Lepisosteus oculatus: one gene and its partner. The protein of the gene in region 1 binds, or shares a complex with, the protein of each later gene. Links are inferred from orthologs where the notes say so. Each region holds a gene or a part of one and is shown in the gene's direction. Other genes may lie near its edges.

Region 1 (7,078 bases):
GAATGCAGAAAATATGTTAGATAGTTAAAACTTCCTTTGTCAATGTCACTGAAGAGTCAAAAGGGCTCTGTATTTAGATCTTCAAGAAGCAACATCTTATCTGCAAGATGGTTACCACATTTTCGCCCAAAAGTCTAAAGACGTTCATAACAGTGCATTGGAACAAAGTAAAGGTTCGTTCCATGCTGAAAAGAGAAGAAAAGAAACAACAGCCGAAACATATTTATTTTCTTCTCTTTTCAGCATGGAATAATCACTAACTTGTTCCTTTGCAGCCTACGCATGCTGAGGCAGCTACCTACTTTTAATGAGACATCCTGAAATTTTGCTTGCCGTCTTTATTGCCTCCACACATTGTCTAAAGGCATTCAGCATGTGAACGCCGCTGTGACCACACGTTAAACATATCAAGAATTCACACCCTACCGGGTTCTTGAAGAGTGAGATGAAGTGGGGCTTGTGTTTCTTCAGCATCAGGTCCAGGAGATGCACGGCCTCTGGTTGCCTCCTCCAGATGGCACTGACCACTGTCTCCCAGAACTCTTTGAACGGCCCCCACAGACTGGCTCCTAAAAGGGGCAGAGGAGGTCAGCTCAGGCCAAGCAAAACCCATCCCCATCAGCAGGAAGTACAGCAACTAACACCTCTCTCTTTGGGAGAAAAAACCTAGACATCACCTCAAACAAACAAAGTACCGAAAAGACAGTACTTGTGTACGTTGTACTGTAATAATAACAGGTGCCTTTTTAATATTTTTAATTTAGTGCCCCTAACAATTAAAGGTTAATTCCTAACAATAAAAAAGCTGTGCCACATTCCAAACATTTTCATCTGCACTGCATCACCTATTCTTTGCTAATCCTATGTGCTTTATTCAAATTAATATATGGTTAACTATGTATGGAAGTCAAAGGTGAATTAATTTTCGTTCTCCATTTTTACTTCAGAAGAACAGCTTGTGAATTAAGCTGACAGTACGAGACTGAAACAACAAGTGTCTTAATATCAGAAGTGACCTGAGAAGGAAGTAGATGCATCTTGCCCTGATAGGATTGAACTTCAAAAACATTTCCTTGTTTTTTCAATGTTAATTGAAAACAGTGATTTGTAATTAGGGATACAGCTGTCTTTTCTGTATCATGTGTGTAGACTTTATATTGTTACAGCTGTAGGTGACTTAGATTGGTCTCAATATTCAATGTATTTTTATTCACATTGCATACCTTAATATTACCACCCTGTAGCCTGATTTATCTGATAGCAAAAGCTAGACAAGGAACTGGGCTGTTGGTTTGAATTTACAAACCAACACCCCAGTATGGTAAATATGGTAAATACTGTCTATGCAAAATCTTGGGTTTGCAAAATCTCAATTACCTAAAGTTTTTACTTCATTCAAATTAAGCGATTTCTCACTTCACCACCTGATCTTCTATTATGTGCAGGCTTATTACACAGTAATTTTTTGCCTTCTATAATGCAGAGTCCCATTACTTTATGCAAAACTGAAATGCAGCACCCACTTATTTGATCATAATTCTGATTAAGTAATAGAAGTATTAGAACACCTAATCATTTTAGACTTTTCGCCATCTCCCTTGAAACAAAATATCCATCCATTTTCTAACGTCTTTTTCCAATATAGGGTCGCAGGGGAGCTGGAGCCTATCCCAGCAAGCAACGGGTGCAAGGAGGGATACACCCTGGACTGTGAGGCAGCAATGCAAACCACCCTGAATAAAAAATATTTTATGAAATTTTCCCTTGTGATGTGAGCAAAATATAAGAAAAATATTTATGGAACAATCTTCAGAACGTCATCCGAAATTACGTTTTGTAAGATTAAAAACATCAGAGCAGCATGACAGTCTTCTTTCTGTGCGTACAATGTACTCAAAGTATACATATCTGTGCATCTCTCTCGTTCTTTTATTCAGACATTCAGTAAAGATACTACAGACATTTAAAGTGTATTTTGCGTATACAGTAAACCATCAATTTACCGGATTTAAAAACAAATACTACATAGTTTTAAAATTCAGGAACGTCAAAGGTGCTCTGTAGGAGTAAAGTCAATTGCTTATCTGTTTTTCGTAAACTTTAGCGAATATTATAACGTATACGTATGATTTATTAAATGGAGCTTGTATATTTAGGATCAAAAATGTCAAAAATAAGACAAACTATTCAGATAAAACGTATAGTACAGTTTATATGCATACATGTGTGTCTTGGGACAGAAAAACGTCATAATTGATCTGACAGACATTCGTCAATTAAGGACACCCCTTTTCCCCTCTTGTTAGTCCGTTAATCCGAGGGTTTACTGTACATACACATAATCAATAGTACTAATTTAACAAAATACAAGGAACAAAACATTTAACTGCAACAAAAATGATTCCCCTCGCGTGCTAACAACGCGGTTCTATATTCAAGCCTCAAATCGCACAATAAAGAAATGCAAATTCTTAAGAATCGTACACAATCAAGACAAGCGGTCCCGTGCAAGAATAATGGCATTATAGTGAACTGTCAGCAGGTGTCTAAATTCATCCCAATACATTACTTAAGAATACATACAGTACGTTGTCAATCTCCACTGACCAGTTCATGTCGTTACAGTGATTTCTCACTGACGCAAAACCATGCGTCAAGTTGTTCAGAGAATACCCTAATCTATCCAAATAAAAAAATGCACCTTTTCTAAATTTCACATTCAGTACTGGCAAAACTCTAAATAAAGCGAATAACGCTACGTAATTTTCTTAATTACGACTGACAATACTGGCGTTGTTTCTGTTATTGTTTTATATGAATCATTAACAAATCAGGTGAAGTACAATGCAAAAACATAAATAAATATCATCAATCACAACCACACAACCAGCAGGATTAGTTTCAGATTCGTTTCAAAATAGCTCAACGCAAAACTTCCGTCAACAGCAAAGAGGCACTTCTCCCGATCACATCTAGCTACTTTCCTATCCCGACACGAAAAGATGTCCTATTTGAACGACTGTGGGGCGCATGCATTTGTTCTTCGATTGTATTCTTAAGCTTTCTTTTAACACCGCTTCTGCAATAGCATGGCTCATCACAAGAACTAGTGTGCCCATGCAACACAAGAAATGCTGCCGGTGGTATTACTGGTCGCTTTTTCTATAAATATTTAACAGTTATACGAAAATGTGTGTTATATATTTAAGACGCACCGTTATTACGGACTGTTTTTATTACTTTATGTCCTTAATATGATTATTTAATACATATATACATTTTAAAATGAATATACCTGAATTTACCGCCATCTGCGCAGCCATGTTGGAGTCAACTCAGGCTCTATAGACAAGGGGTGTCTCATGCATGCCTGAGTAAATATAAAAGCTATATTCTTAAAGCTGTAGTGTTAAAATATTTCGTCTTCATTGGTGTTTGTTTTCATTTGTGGACAACGAAATAATTTTCCACAGGGAATCAAAGGCATATTTTACAAGTAAACATAATTTGTTGCTCGTTTCTAGTGCCATTCTAAATTTCTGTTCAGGCGGGGTCCAGTATGAATGTCGGAAGAAAGATTAACACGTTTTTTATATCGGGAAATGTAGTCTTCTCCGGCTATAAAAAAATGCTTTATCAATTCTGTAGATTTATAATGCGTGTCTTACAACAAAAACCTATTCAGGCTTTGGTGTGCTTTAGAAAGAAGATATGTTTATATATATATACATTGTTTATATGCGTGTCTGTTTTTGTTTAAAACATAGGGGACATAAATAAGTCCCCTATAAATGACAGAAGAGCTGTGCTGACATTTATAGTGAGACTAATGGATATTTTATTACACAAAAAAAGATTCCACACGCTTTCAATTCACTGTATGTAATAAACAGACTGTACTTCGAAAAAAAACAATTTTGTATTCGTTGTCTTCATGACATAAAACCATAAGCGCTGATTTGTGTACCGTGCCTACAGTGTGGGAACTAAAGAAATATTTCCGGCGCATGGGGACTGTTTTAGCTGCTGCACTATTAGAGGTTGCATGTGAGAACGGAGTGAGCTGTGGGGAAAGGGCAATTGTTTGTTTTTAATGTCTTGATAGTGTTATATTTAGATAGGGTGTTGACGGAGTTGTCTGGTGACAGGTCACTAACTTCCTCCTCATGGCACGGGTGCTGAAAATCTTGCAGACCTTGAGAAATCACTGGAAGAAGTCTGTATTCGGGGTCTGTGTGGTATCCTACGGTGGACACTGGCTCTATGGAAAACACTGGTACATAGCTACTGTGCAATAATTTATCATGTTATACAAAAGACGTGTATAATATATCGGAATCTGGGCATATTTAGAATTTGTCTTAAAATTCGTATTGTTTAACAAAGTAGGGGTCATAATGTCCTTGTTTGCTCAGCTCGGTTATATCTGGGTGCAGTGACATTCGACCCTAGAACAATTAGTATGTTAATTGCCAAGCACTTATCTAAAACAATGTTAATATGATTGTGCTGCTAATGTACAGCATTGTTTGCAACACATATGTAACATTTTTGTAAAAAGAAGTCCCAGATGTATTAAAAACATCTGCAGAATGTAAAAAAAAATGTACCGGTTTCCTCATTTCTGAATCTGTTCTTTCTAGCGACAATCTTTTGCGGCGGGCAGCCTGTCAGGAAGCCCGGGTAAGAGATTCTGTATGTATTGTGTGTACATTTCTGTTTTTGTGTGTTGCATGTAGTTGTGATTGGCTTCGTGTAACGGTTATGGGAAGCATCCTGTAAAGCTAGACAATAGGTATGGATATTACTCTGCAGAAGCATACAACTAGTCTAATGGAAACAACAAGACTAGCTACAAACATTAAGTTTTGGGTTCTGTACTTACATATTGGCACTAGAAAAGAAAAAGTGTCATGGTAAAGAATACACTAGGTTTCTGCTTATTTGCTTTTTGCTGCTGTAGATATGAATGATGTTGAACTGTATCACTATATCTGCTTTTAAAAAAATATATAATAAAAGAGCAGATTACATGAAGAACAGAAGGATACAACACTCACTATTAAGTTCTTTCAAGCCATAAGCAATTTATCTTTAGTTTTGCTTTAACTAATTGTTTTGGGAAAATAAATAGATGGCATTAATCAATTTGGATGAACTAGTGAAAAGAAACAAAAAATATAAGAAAACATGTAATAATGAATAATAATACAAAATAATCTTGGTCATCACAATTTTTAAGTTATTTTTGCAACAATGAAAAAAATTCCAGGTACAGTTTTCTTCCCCCCCCCCCTCAAAAATAACTAGCACTGTCAAGACTGATGTCAAAGCTGTGTTTTTCATTTCTAGGAGTATGGTCACCAGGGGATTCCTGCACATGTTCAAGTGAAAAAAGCCACTGTGATTCTCAACCCTGCAGCTTGCAGCGGGTAAGATAAAGGGACAATCATGCCAAACTACGGAATGCATTTGCAGAAGTATGAACTACAATTCCTTGCTTGTTAGCTGCACGACATTTTAAGCATCTATCTGGGACTTTTCCTTTCCAGAAAAGCCACCAGCCTGTTTGAGAAAAATGCAGCCCCCATTCTGCACTTGGGTGGCATGGAGGTTACGCTTGTAAAGGTATGTAGGTTTTTCTGGTCATCGTATTAAAAGTCTCTGCATTTCTAAAGCTCACTGAGTTTCGGCATGTCAACACGTCTGCTGCTTTGGTCTCCCAGACAGACTATGAAGGCCAGGCAAAAAAGCTGATGGACCTGATGGAACATACTGATCTCCTCATTGTGGCAGGGGGAGATGGGACACTACAGGAGGTACAGCACAGTGTTTCTAATCACTTGCATTTACTGATGGACCTGATGATGCTCCTTATCCATCAAGTCACTTATTCCTGGTAGGAGGGGAGCAAATCAGGAGGCACATGGAGAGGCTGCTTTCTGGATGGGATGCCTGTCCATTGCAGGCACACAGGGTCATTTTAGAGGCACTAGTTAACCTGGCCAGCATTCATTTGGACAGGAGAAGGAAACCTGAGCATCTCTAGATTGCAACATTTGAAATGTGTAGACTCCACCCAGAAGGCTTTCCAGTCTTGAATCAAGCCCACGCCCCCCAAGTATTAAAGCTTGCAAAAATGTTTTTGACTGTGCTTAATTTTTTATTCTGCAAATATTCCAAGCTCATCCAAATACTGTATGTCTACAAAAGGATGAATATGTTAGCTACAGCTCATTTGAAGGTGTCTTTTAGACATTGAAAACATGTCTGATAAAGTCAGATGAAGAATTGAATTTGAAAGGGCGGTTTTAGGAAAGAGTTCTAAAATTTTGCATTGTTCAACATGGTTACATGTGGCAATAGTTATGTTCAACTCAGCTAAAACAACATAAAGAATTAAATGTTATAATATGCATCTTGCAGCATGTAACCATGCTGAGCCAACAAGCACACTGACCCCTTTCTTAGACAATGCAATTTTTAAAATGCATTTCCCATTTCCCTTTCAAATTTAATTATTCATGTTGTCTATAGAGTCTTAAGAGTTTTGATCAATTTTGTAAAAAATAATCGTTTCAGACATCACATATCATATGTGTCACATCTTAATAATGCACAGAAGGTCTTTCACTGATCTTCATAAGTAACGGGGATGTCTTGATGAGTCTGAAAAAATATTTTAACTCTGTTACAGGCTGATTATAAAAAAACTGCCAGCACATGATTGTGAAAAATAACATGACAGCCCTTTATTTTCCTCTCCAGAAAATTAAACTCATACTAACAGAAGAAAGATTGTTCACTTTGGCTCTGTTTGGCTTCCACTGTCAGCTCCAATGCTGCTTTGCTCGGCAGCTTTTTCTGGCTCTTTGTCCATTTTCTGTTTTTGTCTCTCACGTTTGTTCGGATTCTGTGACTCCCTATGAGTCTGAAAGGTTGGCTTCTCTGGTCATTTCTTAGCTACCTTGCGCATCTGCTAACAGTTAGCACATTTAAATAGAGAGGAGCATTTAACAAAATCAAAATCACTGACCTGTTTCGTTACTTCTTTTTGTAGGTGATAACTGGCCTTCTT
Region 2 (7,060 bases), on another chromosome or scaffold:
GTGATGTGCCGGGGCAAACCAGTACCAGTCCCAAACCTCGACAGCTGGAGCAGAGTGGCCGGGATGGCATCAGCGGACCTTCAGAATGGCACGGCTGTGAGGCGGAGGAGGCCGTTCCCGTGGGAATGGTGCCTGAGCCTCCTGCGGCAGCCCCTGTGTCCTCCGAGAGGCGGTGCCCGGAGGGAGAGCAGAAAACCAGCTCTGGAGGGGAGCTGGGACCAGTGTCGGAGAGAGACACAGCTGTCCAGGAAGTGCCGCCCAGTCGTTCCTTCATCCTAACCAGGAAGAGGTCCAGGGAGCTGGAAGAGCAGAGGCAGGAAGAAATGGAAAAGTTGAGAAGGTGCCACAGGAAGCGAAAGAGAGAGACGGAGCCTTCACAGACCCAGGTAAAATTAGAGAGAACGTGGAGAGGCCAACCGAGGAAGGGCGGTATGTACACGGCAGACCTGAAATCAGAGAAGAGGGATGCAGGGAAAGTCACAAGAGGGGATGTCAAAACCCATGGCCTGCAGGAGGAAAGGAGAGTCAAGGGGTGCATGGGAGGCAGAGCGTGGGACCCAGGCAGGCCCGTGAAGAGAAGGAGAGGAGTACCCTTGAAGAAGACTGGGAAGATCAGACCCAGCCGGGATGCTCCAGAGATGTCCACGACTCTGGAGGACATGGCCCAGGCCGAAACAAACCCGGAGCCTAGTGGTGGTGGAGAAAAGGCCAGAGATTCTCACTTAAATGCCGATGCTTGTCCAGACCTTTCATCCAGGGAGCAGGAGGGGCTGGAGGCGGTATCTGTACAAAAGCTAGTGCCTATAGAGAACAGAAAGAGCGCTCGGAGAGAAGGAATGCCAGGTTCCCAGGTGAGGAATGGCAAGGTTTGTAGTGGAGAAGTAGAAGGCCCCCCTCTGACCATGGATCTGTCAGCACGAGGGAGGGAGAGAAGCGAAGAAAAGGGTGGGGCACAGGGCGTCTCGAGGAAGTTGAGGACGAGGACGTCTGGGCAAGTGTTCAGTCCTGGGGCAGGTCTTCCAGTGAGATGGGATAGCAGGGCCGCACTGTGTGTGGGATGTGGTCCCAAGAGGAGAGGGCGGGATGCACGAGATGCCTATATCTTGAAGAGAACACCGAGCCATGCAGGAAGGAGAAGAAAGGATCAGCCTCAAATTAAAGACCAAAATAGCATTCCGAGTGCAATAGACAAGGTGGAGACAGGACAGGAAGCTGATCTGCAGCTTTCGAGAAGCGGTGTCAGCAGCCCACGGGAAAAGGGGGTGCGTGTGAAAAACCGTGCGTCTCCAGTTGTGTGTGGGAAGGGACTTGTGCCGCCTCTGGATCTCAAGGTCCGGAATGGAGGTGGGGCAGATCATGGCTCCGGTGTGACGGCCATAGAGACCGTGTCAGACACGGGGAGCGCGGCGCGCTCCAAACACATGGTGCTAGCCGCAGAGGATGGGGTGCAGGAAAACAGGGGACCTCCTGTTAGCAACTGCATTGCTAACAGGAGGGCGAGGAAGAAGGGGGTGGCGGAGCTGAACAAGGAGAGGGCCTGTGTCTGGGGCAAAGGACAGAGAGAGCAGGAGAAGAGTGAGGAGGAGCGCGATTCATCGGTTAGCAGTTTTGGAGGAAGTGACCCTGGACTTCAGGATATGCAGAGGAAACATCCCACCTGCGGAAACAGCACAGGAGAATCGGGTGTGTTTGGGAGAGGGTGGGGGGTGTCTGATACCTCTCTTGATGTCATGCACAGAGCAGGGCTGAGTCGGGAAGAAGGCAGTCAGGAGCCCCAAGGGAGGATTCAGCCAGGAAAGGAGGGAGAGCGAGGAGAGGAGAAGTATTTTGAAGAGAGCGATGATGAAAAGATGGAGACAGCAACAAGGATGGGTCTCGACACAGAAAGCAAGGTGGGGCCGACTGAGATAGCAAAGCAGGACAGAATCAGGACAGAGAGAAGGAAGAGAGAAGGGAGCCATGAGGTTGCGTGGAAGGCGAAGAGCAGGCCGAGTTTGTCCGAGAGCACCCTTCAGGTTTGGCCAACAGAACGGCTCCCTGCTCCCGCCCCCCTTCAGGACTTCCGGGCCACTGAGGGCTCAAGTGGCAGCTTGGACATCGAAGAAGAAGAAGAGGAAGTGGAGATCCTTGAGTGCTCCAGCCCAGCCCCCCTGCCGTGTCACTTCCTGCTGGCAGTGCTGAGGCAGAACTGTGACCTTGGATCCCGAGACCAGTCGGAGGAGGAGGAGGAGGAAGAGGAGGACAGGGAGCTGGAGATCGATGTGGTCGGGTAGGGAGGGATGGAGAACCTGCCTTTACCAGGTCCCTGGGCAGGTGAGTGAATGTCCGAGAGCTTTAGCCATGTGTTGTTGTGTTGTGTTATGTTATGTTGTGCTCTTAGTTCATGCACGCTCAATCTCGTTATAGTTGACGTAATGTTTCAAACAAGTTCTGTAGGTGTGCACAGCTTCAGCAGAACAAGGAATCGTGGGCAAATTTATTATAACACCTACCTATTTGTTGATTTTGCAATCAAGAAATTGATTTCCTACGTATTTTGTTAATTATTGCAGAGACATCCTGTTTAAAGCCAGATCAGCGCTGAGAACAGATCTGGCGTCTTGTATGAGAGTCTGGGGTTGTTTCCAGCACTATGAAGAAGAGTGTGATGTTTCACTGTTCTTGTGTTCCTTTTGGTTCTAGTGTTTGAAAAGAATTGTGTGGCAGAGGGAAATCCTCAAGAGAACCAGAAAATCATTTGTCCGTCTTTAGTTTTCCCAGGACGTTCAGCTCCAGCTGTTGGATTTAGTGTTTTGGACAGGCCCTTATGTTGTAAAGCGTGCTCTTTGGCAAGTCTGAATAAACTAACGTGGCTGTCAGATTCACGCCCCTTGCATGACGTTTTTGACGTGAACTGTGAGACGCGACTTTCAGCTACCCGCATGCTAGACTTCTCCCCGACTGGGACACTGCTGCTGGAACTGGGAGATGCAGCAGTAGGATGTAAGTGCCACTTGTGCCATATTGTCTCTTCGTGGGTTTTTGCCCTAGAGTGTCCGTTACATCCTTCAGTGGAACAGAGGGCCATGTCAGGGTAGCAGTGGATTTTCCTCTTGCCCAGTGTAACAGGCCTGCCCTGGACATGTGGAAAATACCTCTGTCAGCTCCAGCTTCTCCCCCACCCATGAAGCCTGTTCAGGAATCGCAGTGCTTGTGATCACCTTAAGTTAAAGATAACCTTCCCATAACCCCCATTAATGTGGCATTTAGAGATTTCCATACAAAGTGAACTAGATCAACAAGTAATATCGTCCCTCTCTCCTCACTTCTGGCTTGTGTTTTCAGTCTCCCTGCCCCCTCCTGCAGCTTTCTGTCTGCGTGGAGCTCTGTTGTTATTAGTGTGTGGATACACTAACTCTTGTGTTCCGAAGGAGGCAGGCTTCACAAGCAAAGTCTGTTGTCTTTATTTTTCTTAATAAAAACAATTGTTTATTTTCTTTAACCCACCTGATCTGGAGCATTCAGTCCTGTGTTTTCCACATCCCGGCGTTCAGCTTCAAACCCTGTTACCGCACACGGGGGAGACTGAGGAAGGAGGAGATCAGACTCCTCTGATTGGCCCGTCTTCCTGTCAGCATGTCACAGGGAGTGCCAACCCGTACGAGAGGATCAGCGCTGATTGGAGGAGAGGAGTCCTGCTCACTGCCGGCACTGCATGCCTGCAATCACTCAGGTGGTCACAAGAGAGCACTGTAATACCTGGAGAGCCTTGGCTGATCCATCCACAACACTCCTGAGACCACCAACAATACACCTGAGAGCCACAGCACACCTGAGACTGACAACACACCTGAGACCTTTCCACAACCCAATACACATCCACAGCACACCTGAGACATGTCTATAACACACCCAATACACATCCACAGCACACCTGAGACATGTCTATAACACACCCAATACACATCCACAGCACACCTGAGACATGCCTATAACACACCCCATACATGTACACAGCACACCTGAGACATGCCTATAACACACCCAATACACATCCACAGCACACCTGAGACATGTCTATAACACACCCCATACATGTACACAGCACACCTGAGACCTGTCTATAACACACCCAATACACATCCACAGCACACCTGAGACCCACAACAATACACCTCTGAGACCTGTCCACAGCACACCTGAGACTTGTTACACCTGTTTTGATACTACTGACCCTGAAAACCTGTTACCTGCCTCTGTACCTGCAGTCCACCAGTCTGTACATCTGTCAGGTCAGCATCTTTCCTTTTACAAAGTCAGTGTGGAGTGTAAAACAGGCATGCCACATAGACTAGTTTAAAATTAAAAATAAGGCCCCTGTGTTTTACTCCAGGCTACATTAAAAAAACATCTTTACACGTTGTAAAATTTCTCTTGCAAAGTTTAAAAAGTCACTGGTTTCAAAATCAAGTTGTAGAGACGTGCTGGCACTATTCCTTTAAACAATATGTACGATAAAGACTGTTTTAACTCTGAATTGGTCTTCTGACCAAACTTTCATCCTAACAGGAGTTAGAATTTCGATTGAATTAACGCAGGCCGTAATAAATATTCATTTCTACAAGTTCAGAGATTTCCACGGGGTGTCGTGAAGCGCTGCTTGTTAGGCTTGCTGAATTAGGGAATGGTATTCTCGTATATGGGCGGAGGTGTCCAATCTCGTATGGGACTACTTATTCATGTTGTGATATTCCTCCCAAACAGCAGTTCCTGGCGATCGCCACCAAGCGTCACCCGCTCCCGTAAGATGCACCCAAAGAGACCCTTAATGTGTCTATGGTGTTTTTCTTGGCGATGGCCCAGTGGTTGTTTTTGACAGCGGAAACAGGAAAGCGGTTCACTAGAGGGGATACATGTGCGTTTAGTGAAGGTGAAACGCAGCGGATGCCGGTGGTTGTAAACGATTCTGTCCCGAAGAGATGGACCCGATGAAAGCTCAGCAGCTCGCCGCAGAGCTGGAGGTGGAGATGATGGCCGACATGTACAACCGGTACAGTGATGTTTGTCGTGATATTATATCGAGAAATAAGCCTACCTGTGTGCGAGAGGGTCTGTTGTGTACATGCATGTTTCTTTTTCTGAAAACTGTCATTAAGACACCCAGCAAGAGCTGCTCTCGAGCTTCATGCGGAACAAGAACAAGACTGCGCTGTTAAAACAAGCTGTGCAGTTCGTTTTCCGCGAGAGCGTTTGCCTGAGTTTGGAGAAATATAGGCAAAAGGAGTCCTTTTTTTGTGTGGCTTCTGTTTTTCCACACGTAATGTTATTAATCTGGTCCTGACGCCACGCCAGTATTTGTAATCCCTTACACTTAAAGAGATCTGTAACAACCAGTTTTCTGCTAACGGCTCTCTGTGGGTACAAGTTTATTAACCCCTCTCTTTCTCTCTCAGTGCAGTGTTAATGTCCTGTAGTGTCCAGTCAGTGTGTCTGGACTGTATTAACCCCTCTCTCTCAGTGCAGTGTTAATGTCCTGTAGTGTCCAGTCAGTGTGTCTGGCCTGTATTAACCCCTCTCTCTCAGTGCAGTGTTAATGTCCTGTAGTGTCCAGTCAGTGTGTCTGTACTGTATGAACCCCTCTCTCTCAGTGCAGTGTTAATGTCCTGTAGTGTCCAGTCAGTGTGTCTGGACTGTATTAACCCCTCTCTCTCAGTGCAGTGTTAATGTCCTGTAGTGTCCAGTCAGTGTGTCTGTACTGTATTAACCCCTCTCTCTCAGTGCAGTGTTAATGTCCTGTAGTGTCCAGTCAGTGTGTCTGGACTGTATTAACCCCTCTCTCTCAGTGCAGTGTTAATGTCCTGTAGTGTCCAGTCAGTGTGTCTGGCCTGTATTAACCCCTCTCTCTCTGCCAGGATGACCAGTGCGTGTCACCGGAAGTGTGTCCCCCCCCACTACAAGGAAGCAGAGCTGTCCAAGGGCGAGGCGGTGTGTCTGGACCGCTGTGTGGCCAAGTACCTGGACGTCCACGAGAGGATGGGCCGCAAGCTGACCGAGCTGTCTGTGCAGGACGAAGAGCTGATGAAGAGGGTGCAGCAGGGAGCCCCAGCCACCGTGTAGCTGTGGGGAAGGACAGGGGGTCAGGGGGCCTGGTTTGTCAGTACAGTACACTTTACACTAGGGGACTGAACATTTCAGAACATTCATGTCTAAGAGAGCTGGGCTAATACGTTACAGTCTCTATCCGTATGCCTCTCTCTCACTGCAATGTTAGTGTGCTGTAGTTTCCAGTTTTTGTCTGTCTGTTCTGTATTAACCCCTCTCTGTGTCGGACTTAACGCCGCAGTTCCTCATGGTTTATAATAGGACTGAAGTTTGTGCAGTTTTCATGTTATTATGGAAGTTGATGCTGTATGGTGTTGGATGTTTTTTTCAACTTCTTGTTTGCATTTGTTAGTGTATCTGTGCTGCTTTGTCCCTGACTGGGACAGTTTGGTATTTTTTTTGGGTAAATAAAACCTTTATTAAATTGTTTCCTCTGCATGAGCACAGTGATTTGTTGTGTAGACAAGACCACAAGACATGGTTTCACACAAGAGAAGACCATTCAGTCTGTCCACCCATTTTGGTTGTTAGTAGTTCATTGATCTTAGGATCTCATGAGACTTGAAAGAAACCAGGGCGCCGGCTTCAACAGCATGGCTGGGTAGCTTGTTCCACGCTCCCACCACCCTTTGTGTAAAGAAGTCTCCTGTCCTGACCGGAAGATCTCATCCAGCTGTGTCTTGAGAGAAGCCAGGGTATCGGCTTCAACAGCATGACTGAGCAGCTTGTTCCAGACTCCCGGCACCCTTATGTTTAAAGACATTGCGCCTGTTTTTAGTTTTAAATATACTTCCTCTTAGTTTCCACTCCTGTCCTCTGTTTCACTGTTTGATTCCATTGAGAGGTTAATTACTCAGGTCCCCTTTTGTTCTTCTCTCTTCATGTGGAAGGAGACTCAGTTACTTCAGTCTACAGGTTTGTCTGTAGGTCTGAATTGAGTTTTGCTGGCTGGAGACTATTTGCCAGCGTATGTGTGATG

Evidence for each region. Proteins that work in one complex are often made in the same cells at the same time.
Region 2: the proteins of agk (region 1) and timm10 are in contact, whole or in part, in a cryo-EM structure (PDB 7CGP), measured with the Homo sapiens proteins. The link is inferred for Lepisosteus oculatus from reciprocal best matches to the Homo sapiens genes AGK and TIMM10. Residues at the interface, in NP_060708.1 of Homo sapiens: Phe49, Gly50, Asn51, Gln52, Leu53, Ile54, Pro55, Pro56, Val60, Ser91, Gly92, Met93, Asp94, Val95; in NP_036588.1 of Homo sapiens: Glu40, Glu42, Leu43, Ser44, Lys45, Gly46, Ser48, Arg53.

What each region holds. Positions count from the first base shown.
Region 1 is NC_090702.1:8,697,698-8,704,775, forward strand, and holds the start of agk (acylglycerol kinase, mitochondrial), read left to right. Parts: upstream 1-4,001; 5' UTR 4,002-4,166; coding exon 4,167-4,276; intron 4,277-4,643; coding exon 4,644-4,683; intron 4,684-5,352; coding exon 5,353-5,432; intron 5,433-5,552; coding exon 5,553-5,628; intron 5,629-5,726; coding exon 5,727-5,819; intron 5,820-7,060; coding exon 7,061-7,078. Other genes in the region: nuclear pore complex protein Nup205, read right to left, coding at 427-569, 3,296-3,323. UniProt on the Homo sapiens protein: Lipid kinase that can phosphorylate both monoacylglycerol and diacylglycerol to form lysophosphatidic acid (LPA) and phosphatidic acid (PA), respectively. Does not phosphorylate sphingosine. Phosphorylates ceramide.
Region 2 is NC_090701.1:41,476,673-41,483,732, reverse strand, and holds timm10 (mitochondrial import inner membrane translocase subunit Tim10), read left to right. Parts: upstream 1-4,829; 5' UTR 4,830-4,958; coding exon 4,959-5,029; intron 5,030-5,891; coding exon 5,892-6,096; 3' UTR 6,097-6,510; downstream 6,511-7,060. Other genes in the region: uncharacterized protein, read left to right, coding at 1-2,273.